Macaca mulatta: one gene and its partners. The protein of the gene in region 2 interacts with the protein of the main gene of each other region in a pairwise test. Links are inferred from orthologs where the notes say so. Each region holds a gene or a part of one and is shown on either strand. Other genes may lie near its edges.

Region 1 (4,403 bases), on a different chromosome or scaffold from region 2:
AGATTGTGCCACTGCACTCCAGCCTGGACAACAGAGTGAGACTCTGTCTCACAAAAAAAAAAAAAAAAAAAAAAAAGGCAAGCCGGGCATGGTGGCTCACATCTGTAGTCCCAGCACTTTGGGAGGCTGAGACAAGTGGACCACAAGGTCAGGAGTTCGAGACCAGCCTGGCCAATATGGTGAAACCCGTCTCTACTAAAAATACAAAAATTAGCTGACATGGTGGCAGGTGCCTGTAGTCTCAGCTACTTGGGAGGCTGAGGCAGGAGAATCGCTTGAACCTGGAAGGCGGAGGTTGCAGTGAGCCAAGATCGCGCCACTGCACTCCAGCCTGGGCGACAGAGCAAGGCTCCATCTCAAAAAAAAAAAAAAAAAACTTTATTAAAAAAAAAACTTTATGTTAAGAAAAGTCATTAGAGTGGGCCCTATTTCTACATGCCTGGTATCCTTATAAGAAGAGATCTAGACAGAAACACTACAGAGTGAAGACCAAGTGAAGACACAGGGAGAAGAGAGTCATCTATAAGTAAGGAGAGAGGCCTGGAACAGATCCTTCCTTCACATCCCTCAGAAGAAATCAGCCTTGCCAACACCTTGATCTCAGACTTCCAGCCTTCAGATCTAGGAGAAAACAAATTTGTGTTGTCTAAGCTGCCCAATCTGTGAAACTTTGTTATTGGCAGCACTAGCATACAAATACAAGCAGGGAGGCAGGTGGCTGCCCCCCCACCATTGGTCAGGCATGTGACATGCATCTACTCATTTCTTCTGCACTATGGTTCCTTCTGAAGCCAAGGAGCTATTTTTATCCCTGACTTAGAAGAGGGACCAGAGGACGAAGGAGGTCCAAAGCTCACCCCAAGTCACCCTAGGTGGCAGGCTGCAAGCTGATTCCAGGTCTGTCTGACTCCAAGTTCTGTGCACTTTGTGTCACGTGGACTGCATCTCTGAATGGCCACCGAGGTTATCTGGTTAGACACCTTCATGTTATGGATGGGATGACAAAGGCCCTGGAAACCCAGCAGGTTGTCCAAATACATATAGCTAGATGACAAACCCATTAAGATTCACTAACCCAAGTCCTGCATTCTCCTCACCAAATTAAAGTACCTTAAAGTGGATGAGCATGCCTTAAGCCAGAGGTCTGGATATATGAAAGAGAGATGATAAACCTATCTACTGTCAATAGATAAACTGATCTATTGACAATGATGCAATAAACCTGAGTCACCAGAGGTCTACTTCTCTGCATCCAGGGAACTGACCAAGCTTGTCAACCTCGCAGGAAGATGATAGACGCTCAAAGCTACAGAAAAATCACAAATAAATGAATGGCGCAAACCAATAGATGGTCAGGATACCTGACCGTGGTGTAAGACGCTTTACCTCTCTGACCTTCTCATCTGGAAAAAAGCAGTAAACACCATACGTTGAACACTTACAGTATGTGAGGCACCGAGCAGCTATTGCACACATATAGCTCATCTGATCTTTGTAAAAGTCCTGGGGGTGTGGATATTATCCCTGTGGCAGTCTTAAGGGTGTGCTGCTCAGATCTCCCTCCAAAAGAAAACAGGCTATGAGGAGTGAAGGCAGCCGACAATCTCCATCTTTGCAGTCCACCATGGCATTCAACTTGGGGAGAGAGACTGTCTCCCCAGGCTGCCAGCCAATGGAATGAACACACCAGGGGTGCCAGTCTGCCCATTTCTGCCCCATGTTAGATTCTTCTAATGAGCAATCACTGCCTTGCTGAGACTTCCTCAAAACTACACTGTAGTCTAAGGTTCTTCCTGCTCAATCCTCCTTCTTTCCCCTCTCGTTTCACCAGTCAGACCAGCATCACGGACTGAAAATTTCCCTGCCTACTACTGTTTCCTTGTTCCTTTATCCTTTATTGTCATTTCCCCCAATAAATACCTTGCATAATTCTGTCTTGGCATCTACATCAAAGAACCCAAAATAATAACACTCCCGTTTTACAGATGAGAAAACTGAGTGATTAATACATCTAAGGTCATATAATTAGGAATCAAACCCACATCTCTCTCTGACTCCCAAGTCCAAGTTCTTAACCAATGGTTTAAAGAACAAAGAAAGTGTGAAGATACAACTGAAAAACAATGCTATAAAAATTCAGATGACTATGCAAAAGGCAAAGCTGCGCCATGAGAAGGACACCGTATCAAGAAACTACTCCATTATTTACTATCAGAGTGATGAGTCCTTTAATCTCATTCTCCCTATTTTATGGATGACAAGACTACCACCAAACCTGCTTACCTCACAAGGTAGTTGCAATAATCAAATGAGACTCCTCCTCCAAGAGAAAAGGGAAACAAACACAGTATGTGAGAAGATTCTCCTAACTGCAAAGCAAGTGGAGGCAAATGGATAATGGCTCTGAACCTGAAGGATTCTACTGAAGGAACTTCTCCCAAACAGGTCCCCAAATTTGGGGATGGAAAAAACAAAAAAGGCGAAGTAAAATATTCCAAATCTCCAAATGGCTTTTCTGCCTCAAGACTATGTGTTTTGTTCATGCCCACATCCCCAGAGCCTATAACAGCACCTGACTGGTATGTGTTAGGCACTCAGGAAATCACTGCTGAATGAGAACAATTTACAGAAGACCCCCAACCCACACCTTTCTGTCCTTCAAGACACAGGGCCATTCCTCCCACACAGCCTCACATGCAAAGCAGAATACCTGGCAGTTCATGTTGTCCTCTGCTTCAATGAGCTTCCCCCGATATACCTCACCGGTGTTCGTCTCACATGTCACAATGTGGCCCTCGGCCTCGTGCAGCACTTTAATTGGCACACCAATAGACATCTTGGCAGGAAGAGAGCTCTACAGTGAAAGAGACAACAGTCAGTTCATCTTTCAGAGTCTGAGAAGGCATGCGGCACACGTCATGCCTCCTTCAAGGCCTGGCACTCCATAAAACTTAGCAAAAACGCCAAAGCTGCATTTTCTATCAAAGAAAAAGAAAAAAGAAAGCTCAGCTCCTGGCTTGGAGGAAACTATCTGGCAAATATGTGCAAGATGTCGGGTGAGGAGGAATGGTGGGGTGGACAGAAGTAAAAACAGGAATGAAAAGAGAGCATCTCCCATCGACCATGTGTCCCTGCTACCCTATGTCCCTTAATCTTCAGCTAAAGGACCATTAGCGAATACTGTGTGTGTAGGGGAGGGGGATTGGAATGTTAATCTGTTGCACTGTTATTTGTCAACCCTTAATTGTAGATTATTACATTTTGACAATCATAACACAGGCCTGAGCTGTCCAATACAGTAGCTCATGTCCACATGTAGCTATTTAAATTAAACTTAACTAAAACACAATAGAATTAAAATAAAAAACCCAGTCCCTCAATCCCAGTGGCCATATTCCAAGTGCTCAACAGCTACATGTAGCTGGTGGCTACCCTACGGAAGGAGCAGATACAGACCTAAGGACCATGCATATCTAGGAGAGGAGACTGTACTTTTAATGCAGCTCTTTAACCCTTCCCTTACTTTACCATCAAGGATATTGAGAAAATATCAAAGTGACAACGTGCTATATGCAGGAAATGCCCGTCATGGAGGAAAATAAGGGAAAGCACCTGACTTGACCTAATTAAAAGCATCAAGTAGTGAACTTTTTATTGACATGAGCGACGACTCAAAGTTGGAACCTAAGTGCACCTAAGACAGGAGAACATGAGGTTGAAAAGACAGGCTCCTTTGGTGAGGATCCCTGGCTTTCAGCCTTAGGAGCCTAGATTTTATGCTGAAGATAGTGGGGAACCACTGCAAAATTATAGGTAAAGAATGACACAATGAAAAGGTAGCAGCATTTATTTACAAAATGGATCTAACGTAAGGTTTAGAAGCAGAGAAACTTGTTAAAATTTCTGCAACAGTTAAAACTGCTGCAACAGTGTGGAAAGCATGACGGGACCACTGCCTGAAAGGGAGCTGGGGGCAGAGATGCAAAGAACTTTTTAAAAAATGACCGGCTGGGCGCGATGGCTCACGCCCGTAGTCCCAACACTTTTGAAGGACGAAGCCGGTGGATCCCTTGAGCCCAGGAGTTCGAGACCAGCCAGGGTAACATGGTGAAACCGTCTCTACTTTAAAAAAAAAAAAAAAAAAAAAAACCCTCATAGGATTTGACTTCAAGATTCAAAAAACTCATAGGAAATGACTTCAAGATTACTGCCTGGAAACTTTGAAAAACACTCACCTGGAGAGATACAGAATGTAAGAAGCATGCACATTGAGGGGGCAGCTAATGAACTTACTTCCAGGCGCTAGTGAGGCGACGCTGATGTTTGGGTGGTCCAAACTTCCCGCTTTCTTCCCTCCCCGAATCCCGCAGAGTTCATGCATTGAGTCTTTCTCCAGCCCCCGG
Region 2 (3,646 bases):
AAGCAGGAGGCCACGTGGGAAGCAGCACAACCACTTAAAACCCCCTGGGTCATGAAAACATTATTAACCAACACCAGTCAATGCACAAAGTGAAAGTTAGCAGAAAACCTTTTTATCCTAAGAATGAAAGAGAATATGATTTGAATCTACTGCTTAATAGGCATCACCTCATCCACAGTAACTTAAGATCTCATCAAAATCAACAGGCAAAAAAATATATACAACAGTACCTCACAGTTTAATTGCTCTATGCATTTATTATTAGCTATTATTAATGCAGAATGAGGGGACAAAAAGCTCACAAACACTCTACACAATTTCACAAGACGCATTGCAGGGGGAAAAGTGACTGAGATGGATCAACAGTATGCTAGGGTCTTGGTGGACGCATTCCTGGGGGAGGTGGACCTGGAAAGGAAATAGAAACATTGAGAAAAAGAGGATACACATATTCAGGGGCCTGGCTGAACCATCAAGCCCCTATGCTCCCACTCACCTCTAATTCCTGGTGGAGGGGGTCTCATTCCCGGAGGGGGCATGCCTATTGGCGTCCCTCGAGCAGGGGGAAGCCCAATTGGTGGGCCCATGGGTGGTCTCATACCAGGTGGAGGAGCCATAATGCCTGCGATGAAAAATGGTAGAAATAAAGGCCTTATAAACCGGCTTAGAAAAGCTGTTAGAATTTAGCCCAAATAATCCCTAAAGAAATGGGCCAGACAACAGTGATAAGAGTCAAATAATTTCTAAATGACAATTACTCTCCTACGTCTTTCATTAAACACCAGTACCTAGAAGAGGGAGGAAGCATATGCCCCGGATTCTGAGTTAGGCTCTCAGGCTGTGTCTTAAATCAGTAAGCTCTCTCTAGTCAGAGATTCAAATTCGTCTTAATGTTCACCAATCCCTTACCTGGAGGTGGGGTTGCTCTGCCAACAGGTGGGGGCGGAGTCCCCCGTCCTGGTGGGTACTGTGTTGGGGCTCCAGCAATGCTGGCGGTGGCAGCAACGGCAGCAGCTGCTACAGTGCCTCTTCCCTGTGGAGTCATTACCTGAGAAGGCAAGGGGAGAAACCAACAAAGTGATACATACCTTCACGTTATTCAAACACAGAAAATAAATGAGAAAAATGACCAATTAGATACAAACAACTGTTGCAATGTTGTACTTCTCTCATTATTCCCATGTTTTTTTTTTTTTGAGACAGTTTCACTCTTGTCACCCAGGCTGCAATGCAATGGTGCAATCTCAGCCCACTGCAGCCTCCCACTCCCGGGTTCAAGCGATTCTCCTGTCTCAGCCTGCTGGGTAGCCGGGATCACAGGTGCCCCCAACCAGGCCCAGCAGGTTTTTGTACTTTTAGTAGAGACGGGGTTTTCACCATGTGGGCCAGGCTGGTCTCCAACTCCTGACCTCAAGTGATCTGCCCACTGTGGCCTCCCAAAGTGCTGGACTACAGGCATAAGCCACCGCACCTGCCTATTCCCATATTTTAAAAACTAATCTTAGTACACTGACATCCACAAAGCCCTTTGATCTTTTCAACTGAGGTATATCCAGGCATTCTGTTCACTCACCACTAGTGGCAAGTTACTCTTACCAAGAGTAACTCAGGTAATTTTAATCACCCAATGACCATTTTAAGTAGCTAGTTTTATTCCCTTCCTCCTGTGTATCTGTCCGTTGGTTCCTCCTAGACCATATGCCCTTTACATAGTATGACATGTACACTCAGGTTTTTAAATCTCCTCGGCCTCTGGCTTAGTCACATTCTCCCAATATAAAACCCTCCGCTGGTTCCTCACCTGCTGGGACGGTCCCCCAACTCCTCGGACAGGGCCTGCCAATCCAGCAGGGGCCTGGGGAATTGGCACACCAGCTGGTACTCCTCTACCAGCTGCCCTACCAACCCCAGGGCCTCCAGCAGCTCCAGCAAGTGGTACCCGAGCAATGCCAGTCTGAAAGAAAATGTATAGCCTAAAATCAAACAATTTACAAGTTCTCAGTATTTTTATGCATCAGAGATCACTTCTCTCCACCATTTTCCCAGACACTTATCTCGTATTAGTTCTGTATCCAAATGAACAAGCAAGTATACCATGGAGGTATCTTGTGGATAAAATGCGCATTATTTGTCAAATTGTGAAAACAGCTCTTTTATAAACATACCAAGCAAACATGAATCAGCAACTCCTACCCTCACCTAGGTAATGCCCAGCACACAGAATAATTCACCAAAAAACCCTTAATCCCAAATAGCATAGGCAACCAACAATTGATACTAAGTGCTTGGCACATTTGACAATCCATGTTAAACTGTGTCTGTGCTGTACCGTGATTTCAGACATCTCACATAATATGATGTCCTTGCAAATTAGAGTTCTGTCCTGCTCTACATCTTCCTTACATCTTTGGGGGGTGGCCCCTCCACAGTCATGGATACCAAGTTCTCCCCACGCAGCAACACCAGACCCAAAACCCGCTTTTCTTCACGCTCTGGTTGCTTCGCATTCTTTGGCCTACAAATCAGAATTAAATTTTAGTGAGATAATTTTAGTGACCCCTAGATTACTCACTCATCAAAATATTTATACAACCTCAAGTATCAATTAAGGCAACCGATGCTAAACAGATATTAAGTTATCACTGAAAAACAAACAAAAAAAAATCCGTAAACAGTTAATATAAAAGGGTAAATAGTAAAGCTGTTTCTGATCTAACTTTAGTCTTTTACAGAATGTTCCTTTGATGTTAACACTACAACAAGACGAATTTCTTTTGTAAAACGCCTTTTAAGGAAAACAAAGTTGAAACTTCGGTTTCCATATTAAAATGGAAATTTCTTTAAAAAATTACTTAAATAATTAAATCATAATGACAGGGTGACACAACTGAAATAATGCGAACAGTAATAGGCAAAGAGAGGATAACAAATAGCAACCATATCCCAACTCCTCAACCGTGAAGAGCAATTATTATTCTCTATTTCAACCCAGATTTATTCAGTCTAAGACTGCTGCAGAAGCCAACCAATTAATTAACAATAGCATTTTTCTCAATTTTAAAAATAAATATAACTTAATATTTTGAGCACAACATACACTTTTATTCCCAGTAATAAATCCATGATTGTCTCACAAACTTAAGAGTTTATATGCAGACTCTGACCTAATTCAGAGATCAGGTCAAGAGGTGAAACAATAGACTGGCTCTACCTTAGCTTCCCTACCTACCTCAGTTACCCTTGGAAATCCCTTACTCCAGGTCTGGCCTTCCCTTCCCACTGCCTCTGCGTCCAACCCCCATTTACCCAAATCAGCTTACTTGATCTTTCTGAACTCATCACAATCACAGAGGATCAAATTCATATGCTTGTCAAAAGCCTTAAAGGTGCCAATGAAGATTCGGCCATCTTGTAGGATACATCTCATTCTATAGTCAATGTGCTGCAGCATCTTGCTACTCTTGCCCACAGTCTGGAAGCAGTAAGACAAGAGTCATGTTCAGGTTGCCAACACCCTAGTCTTCTAATCTTCTGTTTCTTCTCCGCCCTTATATAATCCAAGCCTGGTTTCCTTAACTAAACAAATATTCTCTCCTACTTTTTCACCAACATTCTTCCATATTTAGTATGAGTCTCTGGAGGACCA
Region 3 (3,265 bases), on a different chromosome or scaffold from region 2:
CCACACTCCCCAAAGAAGCTCTGAGAAACCAGGAGGCTGGGATTTCGAGAAGGACGCCAGTAATCTGTTTTCAGTATGAGCTGCGGGCTGATACTACCCCTGCAGGGGTGTCTCCTCCTGCGGCTGAACATCCAGCCCAGCTGTGGGCCAAGGTGAGGTGCGACACCTTTTGGCTTTTTTGCACATTTCTGTAGGCTGGGTGACCCATGGTCGGGGGAACTTCCTCAGTCCTGACATCTGCTTTCCTTCCTCCTCCTGTGGCCCACAGTCTTCCCAGGTCACAGGCCGGCCTGCGGGAGGTATGCCAAGAAGGGAGGGGGTGGGCAGTGGGGCAGGCCCGGCCTGGCACACTGCTTCCCTCCCACAGGGGCACTTCGGGCAGGCCACCTCCAAGCCAGGACCCTACAGCATCCCACAGACCCAGTGGGCAGAGGCACAGGCCCGGTACACACAGAGACCACTGCCCAACCTGCCACTGCATTGTATCTGAGTCTCTCTTAGGCTGCCTACTTCAGAGAGGCTGAGCTAGGCCCTGGAGGTCACCAGAGCCAGGACTGAGGCTCACCCGTGTCCTCATGACAGAAAGCCACTAGAACAAATGCTAGGCAAACTGGCTCTTTCCGGGATTTTTATTTCTTTAAAATAATTCATACAAATGGTTACAGTCACAAACATGATTTTAACCAAAATATTGCTAGCCTACCACATCAGCAGGACGGCACTGGTGCAGACAGGGACGCTGCCACCCTCCACATCCCCAGGACAGATGTCGATGGGCAGCGGGCACGCTGGGCACCGCCCAAGCTTTTCCTTTTGGAGCCGCTTCGTGATGCCGTCTTTATTTGGAACAAGGGGGGGTTCATGCCAAATTAGGAAAAACAGCCTTTGTTTTGTTTTTCTAAATTATTCTAAAAATAAGACAAGCAGGTAGAAAAAACAATGCACTGTGTGGCATAAAAAGAAAAACGGGAAGGATTCATTGTCCTGAGAAGTTTGCCAACTGCCTCATTCTGGGGCACGTTCCAACATACAAAAAAAAGAAGAAAAAAAAAAACCAAAAGAAAAAAAAAAACCTCAAATTGACTTCCGAATGCTCCTTCAGGTTTTCTTTTTGTTGACAGCTAAGCAAACAGATCCTTTGTAATGTTCTAAAAACTGTACACAGACAAGAACGTTCATGGGAGAATAACTACTGACTTCTTCTGCTTAACGAGGAACGCGAAGGACACGGGGCAGAGCGCCCACAGGACGGACGACAAGCGACACGAGGCCCAGCGCTGCCCCCTCCCGCCTCCTGACAGCCCGGACCAGTCTCTGCAGTGCCAGGGCCGCCACACAGGCACCTCCTCCACACACTCTGGTCCGAGGGTTTCCGGGCCCTCTGCCCAGGCGCTGAGGCTGGAGAGCTCCTCCCGGGCTACAACTGGTCACTGGCGTGGTCTCTATCTGCCTCGGGCTTGACAGTTTGGCCAGGAGAAGGGGCATGGGGTGGGTGGGCCACAGGGGGCAGGCCATGGGACAGGGACATGGCGCTGGGGACGATACCTTCCACAGCAGCGGGGATGCCAGTGGGGGCCACGCCCACCACGCCTGGAGGGTACCTGCTGGGAGAGGGTCCGTCTGTGAGGCCCCCTACAGGCAGCCTGACCGGGCCCCACCTGCCCTCACAGCGTCTGCAGCACTGAGGGGCGGCTCCAGCGGGACCAGCAGTCAGGGTGAGGATCCCGCCTCCGCACGGATGCTCCCGCCTACGGGGGCTACTTCTCAGGGCAGGGGAGGGGAGCCCTGGTGTCTCCAGGCGACTTGAACATGAGGTCTTCGCCTCACCCAAAGCCCCCTCCTCCCACAGGCCCCGTGCCCACAGTAGTCCTGTGCGCACTGGGTCCTGAAGGCCACCCCAGCTCCTTCCAAGAGGCCCTGGTTCTCATAGGCCTTTCGGGTGAGGTGGGCCTTACCAGTTCCACCCAGATCCTCCAGGTCAGTCAGTGGAGACGCCGCCCCTCCCGCCAGGGGCTGTGCTGGGATCCAGGGGAAGCCTCGGGCCCTCCTGGTGGCTGTTCCGGGCCAGCGGGCCTGCTCACCTATAGGCGGCCCCGTTGAGCTCAGGGTGCACGACAGCGGGGTCCATGCTGGCCCAGTGGGTGGCTGCCGTCAGATGGTCCTTGTTGACACAGTTCTTCAGGCTGTCTGGGATCCGGCCTGGGAGAGGCAGGAGGGAGGAATAGCTGTGGCTCTCAGGGGGCCCCAGGAGCGTGGCCCACTGGGTTGAAGACACGGGCTGTAGAGCTCTCGGCAGTGTGCTCCTCCCTCTCAGCCCCGGGGCTCCCAAGGCATGGCAGGGTCCTGTCTCTCAGGGCACCAGAACCCTCGCAGCGTGGGGACCCCCAGCCCAGAGCATGTGCCCAGTTTGCTGAGGGACCTGTCTGCTCAGCCCAGCAACTTCCCAGCAGCTCTTGTGTGTAAGACGACGCCAGGGCTCAACCTGACTTTGGCCTTAGAGGTCCCTGCTGGGGGTGCAGTGAGAGCACCATGGGCCCTGAGCTGGCAGAACATGGGCCTGGCTGCTGGGCGGATGCGAGCCCATGAGCCAGGCCTGGGGCTGGCAGGAAGAGTCCCCCAGGCCCACCTGTGATGGCTCTGCGGATCTCCCGTGCCGCCTCCTCTCGCATCTCGATGGAAGCCTGCTCGCTGTACCACGCAGCGTGGGGGGTGCAGATAAGATTGGGTGCATCCTTCAGGGGGCCCTGGCTAAAGCTGGGAACAGCACAGCATGGTCAGTGCAGCCCGAGTGCTGTGGCTGGGTGCGGGGGGGAAGTGGCTGGGCACTGGAACCCCTGTGGGGGACCCTGCCTGGGACCCACAGACCCCACGGCCCCGCTCCGCTTGGCAGGCGGGCTGAGCACAAGAGCTCAGCCCCAGGACCATCAGACACACCAGGGGCTCCTGACAGCAGCGGGTGTGGGAGCCCAAAGGATTTAATCTCCAAGCCCCTTGGGGGAGGAGCCCTGATGGGGGGACATGCTGGCCTGGCCCCTCCCGGCCGAAGGTCCTGTAGCCCCAGGAGCTGCAGGCTGGTACTGCCCCTGCGGGGTGTCTCCTCCTGTGGCTGACCATCCAACCCAGGGCTGCCTGGGGTCCCAGGGCGCTGCAGGGATTGCAGGTCTGGACATGACGCCATGACTCCATGGCCAGGGCCTGTGGGGACCACTCACGGACACTGGGGCCTCACTCTCTCCTGGCTGGTGGGGAGCCCTGCCCGAAGAGG

The links.
Region 1: the proteins of SNRPN (region 2) and SNRPD3 interact in a two-hybrid assay, tested with the Homo sapiens proteins (2 studies listed by BioGRID, with this or other methods). The link is inferred for Macaca mulatta from reciprocal best matches to the Homo sapiens genes SNRPN and SNRPD3.
Region 3: the proteins of SNRPN (region 2) and CTBP1 interact in a two-hybrid assay, tested with the Homo sapiens proteins (2 studies listed by BioGRID and IntAct). The link is inferred for Macaca mulatta from reciprocal best matches to the Homo sapiens genes SNRPN and CTBP1.

The regions. Positions count from the first base shown.
Region 1 is NC_133415.1:28,770,501-28,774,903, forward strand, and holds the start of SNRPD3 (small nuclear ribonucleoprotein Sm D3), read right to left. Parts: upstream 2,855-4,403; 5' UTR 2,837-2,854; coding exon 2,711-2,836; intron 1-2,710. Other genes in the region: protein GUCD1, read left to right, coding at 4,284-4,403. UniProt on the Homo sapiens protein: Plays a role in pre-mRNA splicing as a core component of the spliceosomal U1, U2, U4 and U5 small nuclear ribonucleoproteins (snRNPs), the building blocks of the spliceosome.
Region 2 is NC_133412.1:4,999,190-5,002,835, forward strand, and holds the end of SNRPN (small nuclear ribonucleoprotein-associated protein N), read right to left. Parts: intron 3,473-3,646; coding exon 3,321-3,472; intron 2,516-3,320; coding exon 2,404-2,515; intron 1,955-2,403; coding exon 1,802-1,954; intron 1,049-1,801; coding exon 910-1,048; intron 623-909; coding exon 497-622; intron 409-496; coding exon 371-408; 3' UTR 232-370; downstream 1-231.
Region 3 is NC_133410.1:1,286,418-1,289,682, forward strand, and holds the end of CTBP1 (C-terminal-binding protein 1), read right to left. Parts: intron 2,755-3,265; coding exon 2,627-2,754; exon of another isoform or gene 2,552-2,626; intron 2,226-2,551; exon of another isoform or gene 2,200-2,225; coding exon 2,082-2,199; intron 1,605-2,081; coding exon of another isoform or gene 1,602-1,604; coding exon 1,418-1,601; 3' UTR 616-1,417; downstream 1-615. UniProt on the Homo sapiens protein: Corepressor targeting diverse transcription regulators such as GLIS2 or BCL6. Has dehydrogenase activity. Involved in controlling the equilibrium between tubular and stacked structures in the Golgi complex.